Callithrix jacchus: one gene and its partner. The protein of the gene in region 1 interacts with the protein of each later gene in a pairwise test. Links are inferred from orthologs where the notes say so. Each region holds a gene or a part of one and is shown in the gene's direction. Other genes may lie near its edges. The genes, in order: SIAH1 and PEG10.

Evidence for each region.
Region 2: the proteins of SIAH1 (region 1) and PEG10 interact in binary tests that used the Homo sapiens proteins (3 or more experiments, as listed by UniProt). The link is inferred for Callithrix jacchus from reciprocal best matches to the Homo sapiens genes SIAH1 and PEG10.

What each region holds. Positions count from the first base shown.
Region 1 is NC_133521.1:6,074,480-6,077,442, reverse strand, and holds the end of SIAH1 (E3 ubiquitin-protein ligase SIAH1), read left to right. Parts: intron 1-115; exon of another isoform or gene 116-138; intron 139-253; coding exon 254-1,104; coding exon of another isoform or gene 1,105-1,207; 3' UTR 1,208-2,183; downstream 2,184-2,963. Other genes in the region: LONP2 (lon protease homolog 2, peroxisomal), read right to left, coding at 1,088-1,207. UniProt on the Homo sapiens protein: E3 ubiquitin-protein ligase that mediates ubiquitination and subsequent proteasomal degradation of target proteins.
Region 2 is NC_133512.1:54,928,980-54,932,808, reverse strand, and holds part of PEG10 (retrotransposon-derived protein PEG10), read left to right. Parts: intron 1-377; coding exon 378-1,578; coding exon of another isoform or gene 1,579-2,726; 3' UTR 2,727-3,829.

The sequences.
Region 1 (2,963 bases):
AGTTTATGGTCCATTTTCTATTTAAGATGATATTTACTTTTTTTTTTTCTTAAAGGGAGTTCCAAATGTGTTCTGGAACATTTTGAAAATAGAGCTGATCCACTGTACAGATCCTAGTAATCAAAGTGCACATTCAGTGTAATTTTATTTTTTTAGTATCTTTTAAAAAATACTTCTGGCATATAAACATTATTTATAAAATAAGTCATGGTTGTAATTATTTTTCTCCTGCTTCCTTATGTATTTATTTCAGAAATGAGCCGTCAGACTGCTACAGCATTACCTACCGGTACCTCAAAGTGTCCACCATCCCAGAGGGTGCCTGCCCTGACTGGCACGACTGCATCCAACAATGACTTGGCGAGTCTTTTTGAGTGTCCAGTCTGCTTTGACTATGTGTTACCACCCATTCTTCAATGTCAGAGTGGCCATCTTGTTTGTAGCAACTGTCGCCCAAAGCTCACATGTTGTCCAACTTGCCGGGGCCCATTGGGATCCATTCGCAACTTGGCTATGGAGAAAGTGGCTAATTCAGTACTTTTCCCCTGTAAATATGCCTCTTCTGGATGTGAAATAACTCTGCCACACACCGAAAAAGCAGACCATGAAGAGCTCTGTGAGTTTAGGCCTTATTCCTGTCCATGCCCTGGTGCTTCCTGTAAATGGCAAGGCTCTCTGGATGCTGTAATGCCCCATCTGATGCATCAGCATAAGTCCATTACAACCCTACAGGGAGAGGATATCGTTTTCCTTGCTACAGACATTAATCTTCCTGGTGCTGTTGACTGGGTGATGATGCAGTCCTGTTTTGGCTTTCACTTCATGTTAGTCTTGGAGAAACAGGAAAAATACGATGGTCACCAGCAGTTCTTCGCAATCGTACAGCTGATAGGAACACGCAAGCAAGCTGAAAATTTTGCTTACCGACTTGAGCTAAATGGTCATAGGCGACGATTGACTTGGGAAGCAACTCCTCGATCTATTCATGAAGGAATTGCAACAGCCATTATGAATAGTGACTGTCTAGTCTTTGACACCAGCATTGCACAGCTTTTTGCAGAAAATGGCAATTTAGGCATCAATGTAACTATTTCCATGTGTTGAAATGGCAATCAAACATTTTGTGGCCAGTGTTTAAAACTTCTGTTTCACAGAAAATAAGACACCCATCTGCCTGCCAATCTAAAACTCTTTTGGTAGGTGAAAGCTAGACACATGAAGGTAAATAAAAAGAAAGGCTGTTAAATACAGGAAACAGTTGCATGTAGTAACACTAATATATTTAAAAATAAGTCAACAGTAAACCACTGAAAAAAATGTATGTATATACACCCAAGATGGGCATCTTTTGTATTAAGAAAGAAGAAAGCATTGTAAAATAATTCTGAGTTTTGTGTTTGTTGTAGATTGTATTGTTCAAAAATAATGGGTTTTTTGGTTGTTTCTGCGTGTGTGAGTGCGTGCGTGAGTGTGTGCGTGTTTGGGTTTTTTTCCTTTAACTGACAAGCCATCTTGAGTGGTCATGGGCCACTGCTTTTCCCCTTTGTGAGTCAATACATAGTGCTGCTGTGTGCTTTTGTGTGTGTGTATTTGCTAATTTTTATTAATTCTAGTTTTTCATTAAATAAATTTGACTTTCTTTTCTGTAATTCAGGTTTTTCCTCACTTTTTTTTGTACCATTTTAAAGTTAGTGTCTTTTGATATGCATAATTGTTCATGGTAAAATTTATAACATGCATTCAATACATACTTTCTTTTCCCCATTGATCAGTTCATTAGAAATATTTTAAAATCAGCTATTTTATGAAGCTATGAGTTCCAGAAAGTAAAGATGACATTGGGAAAATTATCAAAAGCTATTTAAAGCATCTATAAGATGGTTTCTCTTTCTCTCTTCTACAGATGAGTCACACCTTTGAGCTTAATCTTTGAAAGGTTAGAGAATCAGTTGATTCTTATAATGAAAATCGGGTTTTTGTTTCCTTTTTCAAATATCTTGGACAAATCATCTGTTTAAAATTTGTTCTTGTATTTATTGGTTTTGCCGAAGAAGGCATCGTCATGCACCGTATTTGTAATTAAAAGCAAATCATTTGTTTAAAAAGGCAGTTTGCAAAAAAAAAAAAAATGTTTTTGGTCTTTTATAATTCTCATTAAAAGAATATCTGGCAAATTAAAAAAATCTTACTGTGTCTGCTTTAACGCTAAGTTTGATAAAATCCAAACTTATTTTCCTGTTTCTCTAATTATATAGCAGAAAGCTGTGTGTTGTCATTTTAAGTGTGGTAGAGTTATATTCTAAATCACAGCAAATAACTGGGTATATGGCCTCTGGATTACAGTCTCTTCCCCTCGACACCCCCCCCATTTCGATTCTTACAACTTTGTCAGGAGAATGACTAAAATGGTGACCACTTTTCACCTCCTTAAGAAAGCACAACGAAAGAATAAATTTACTATTTCATAGCCTATTGGCCAAGAGCCTTGGTTCTGCAGCCAGACTTCCAGGCACCTGGGTGCCAGTCTCAGCTCTACCACATTTCAGCCCGTTTCCTAATGTGTAACGTGGGGTTAAATTATGGTAGATACCTCTAAAGTTTAAATGGGCTACAGGTGCATTACCTGAAACAGTGCTTTGTTCATATCAGCGTCCAGTGAATGTTAGCTACAGTTGCACCTTTAGAACCATGTAGTTAACTGTTGCTCGTTACTTTGACGCACATGGCAAGATCCCGAAATCGCTTTCTGAATCCTCAGAGATAATTTTGTGTGGTTCTCTGGGTACTCTAAGCCTAGAAAGTCAATGAAAATTAATTTGGACTTCACCCTTATACCACCACCGATTCTGGATAATTTTGGATAAGAGTTTATTTTTTCTAACCATTTTCAGAAAAGATGCTTGTGTAGTCTCTTCCCTACATAATTATCTTTTGAACTGGTTATGTGCTTGTGTAGCCATTTT
Region 2 (3,829 bases), on another chromosome or scaffold:
CATAATTGATTTGGTATCCATGTTTGCCTTGAAGTTTCTTTGCCTTGAAGTTCTGTTTCAATAGGAAACTACTTGTTTAGAGGCCTTAACATTCTCTTATAGTTTATAAAGGTAAGCATGCTGTTGATAATATATTATTGAATCATAATCAACAGGTGGTCTTTGAGAAGGACAAGGTCATTTGAACATCAAAAAGTAGTTTGCTTTTTGTATGGTGCTGATTGATAACTTCCCTTTGAGAGTTTGTTTTTGTTTGTTTGCTAATTATTAAAGTAAGCACATAGAACAAGGGATAATATAAATATCAAATCCTTTGTGTCTACATTTTGCTGCTTTGAAGGTATAAGTTAGATTTATATGTTTATCTTTATTTACAGAAATAAGCGCGTTTTGAAAACAAAAAAAAGAAGGAGTGGAAGAGGGGGCCAGGATCCAGGCCTCCATCCCCACAGAAGTGAAGTTACAGCTGGGAGGTCTCCTCCCACCCCAACCGTCACCCTGGGTCCCGACTGCCCACCTCCTCCTCCTCCCCCTCCCCCCAACAACAACAACAACAACAACTCCAAGCACACTGGCCATAAGAGTGCGTGTGTCCCCAACATGACCGAACGAAGGAGAGATGAGCTCTCTGAAGAGATCAACAACTTAAGAGAGAAGGTCATCAAGCAGTCTGAGGAGAACAACAATCTGCAGAACCAGGTGCAGAAGCTCACAGAGGAGAACACTACCCTTCGAGAGCAGGTAGAACCCACCCCAGAGGATGAGGATGATGACATCGAGCTCCGCGGTGCTGCAGCAGCTGCTGCCCCACCCCCTGCAATAGAGGAAGAGTGCCCAGAAGACCTCCCAGAGAAGTTTGATGGCAACCCAGACATGCTGGCTCCTTTTATGTCCCAGTGCCAGGTCTTCATGGAAAAGAGCACCAGAGATTTCTCAGTTGATCGTGTCCGTGTCTGCTTCGTGACAAGCATGATGACCGGCCGTGCTGCACGTTGGGCCTCAGCAAAGCTGGAGCGCTCTCACTACTTGATGCACAACTACCCGGCTTTCATGATGGAAATGAAACATGTCTTTGAAGACCCTCAGAGGCGAGAGGCTGCCAAACGCAAGATCAGACGACTGCGCCAAGGTATGGGGTCTGTCATCGACTACTCTAATGCTTTCCAGATGATTGCCCAGGACCTGGATTGGAACGAACCTGCACTGATTGACCAGTACCACGAGGGCCTCAGTGACCACATTCAGGAGGAGCTCTCCCACCTCGAGGTCGCCAAGTCGCTGTCTGCTCTGATAGGTCAGTGCATTCACATTGAGAGAAGGCTGGCCAGGGCTGCTGCAGCTCGCAAGCCACGCTCACCACCCCGGGCGCTGGTGTTGCCTCACATTGCAAGCCACCACCAGGTAGATCCAACTGAGCCGGTGGGAGGTGCCCGCATGCGCCTGACCCAGGAAGAAAAAGAAAGACGCAGAAAGCTGAACCTCTGCCTCTACTGTGGAACAGGAGGTCACTATGCTGACAACTGTCCTGCCAAGGCCTCGAAGTCTTCACCGGCGGGAAACTCCCCGGCCCCGCTGTAGAGGGACCTTCAGCGACCGGGCCAGAAATAATAAGGTCCCCACAAGATGATGCCTCATCTCCACACTTGCAAGTGATGCTCCAGATTCATCTTCCGGGCAGACACACCCTGTTTGTCCGAGCCATGATCGATTCTGGTGCTTCTGGCAACTTCATTGATCATGAATACGTTGCTCAAAATGGAATTCCTCTAAGAATCAAGGACTGGCCAATACTTGTGGAAGCAATTGATGGGCGCCCCATAGCATCGGGCCCAGTTGTCCACGAAACTCATGACCTGATAGTTGACCTGGGAGATCACCGTGAGGTGCTGTCATTTGATGTGACTCAGTCTCCATTCTTCCCTGTCGTCCTGGGGGTTCGCTGGCTGAGCACACATGATCCCAACATCACCTGGAGCACTCGATCCATCGTCTTTGATTCTGAATACTGCCGCTACCACTGCCGGATGTATTCTCCAATACCACCATCGCTCCCACCACCGGCACCACAACCACCACTCTATTATCCAGTAGATGGATACAGAGTTTACCAACCAGTGAGGTATTACTATGTCCAGAATGTGTACACTCCAGTAGATGAGCACGTCTACCCAGATCACCGCCTGGTTGACCCTCACATAGAAATGATACCTGGAGCACACAGTATTCCTAGCGGACATGTGTACTCACTGTCTGAATCTGATATGGCAGCTCTTCGAGATTTTGTGGCAAGAAATGTAAAGGATGGGCTAATTACTCCAACAGTTGCACCTAATGGAGCCCAAATTCTCCAGGTGAAGAGGGGGTGGAAACTGCAAGTTTCTTATGATTGCCGAGCTCCAAACAATATTACTATCCAGAATCAGTATCCTCGCCTATCTATTCCAAATTTAGAAGACCAAGCACACCTGGCAACGTACACTGAATTTGTACCTCAAATACCTGGATACCAAACATACCCCACATATGCCGCGTACCCGACTTACCCAGTAGGATTCGCCTGGTACCCAGTGGGACGAGACGGACAAGGAAGATCACTGTATGTACCTGTTATGATCACTTGGAATCCACACTGGTACCGCCAGCCTCCGGTGCCACAGTACCCGCCGCCACAGCCGCCGCCTCCACCACCACCGCCACCGCCGCCTCCATCTTACAGTACCCTGTAAATACTTGTCATGTCCTTCAGGATCTCTGCCCTCAAAATTTATTCCTTTTCAGCTTCTTAATCAGTGACTGTGTGCTAAATTTTAGGCTACTGTATCTTCAAGCCACCTGAGGCACATCCTCTCTGAAACGGCTACAGAAGGTCAGCGCCACCCTGGACTGGCACACATCCTAAAGCACCAAAAGACTTTCAACATTTTCTGAGAGCAGCAGAGTATTTGCCAACGAATTATCTCTCAGTTTTCCACCTTGACTACCAATCTAAAATAATTAATAAGTTTACTTTCCAGGCAGTCCTGGAAGTCTGGGTTTTACTTACTAAAACCTCTATCATCATCTAAATTATAGGCTGCCAATTTTCTTGTTTAACATTTACAGAGAAGCTGATACAAATGCTGATTTCTTCATGGAGGGGGAGACAAGGAGGAGGAGGTGGAGGAGGACATGACTTTTCTTGCAGTTTCAGTACTCTCTTTACATCACTAGAGGACCGAGTCCTTATTAAGGAAGCCAAAACTATTGGTGCAGTGTGGAAAGGCTTCCGTGATCATCCTGCTGCACCCTTAGAAACTTCACCATCTTCAAACTCCATTTCCATGGTTCTGTTAATTCTCAAGGAGCAGCAACTCAACTGGTTCTCCCAGGGGCAGGCAAAACCCTTGCTACATGAAACACCTCAGGCCCTCTCAGATGGACTCTTGTATGTTAAGAGTGTGCCATCACATCGTGGTGCAAATCGCATGTACCCAAGGACTCTGGCTTTGACACACACCTTACCATCATCATGCCATAATGGCTTCCACAAAGCATTAAACCTGATAACCAGAGATTACTGGTGGTTCCAGGGGTGTTAGAGGTTTGTGAAATGTGACCACCTCTCAATCACCTTCGAAGGCTAAAGAGTGGCAGATCAAAAGGACTCCAAAATCCCTTACCCACCTTTTAAGAGACTTGTCCTGGTACTTCAGAAAGAATTTTCATGAGTGTTGTTAGTTGACTGGAAAACCACCAGCTGACGTTTTGGAAGTATCTATCCATGTGTCTGCCTCCATATGCATCTGGGCATTCCATCTTCAGTCCCTTCATTAGACTGTAGTGTTAGGAT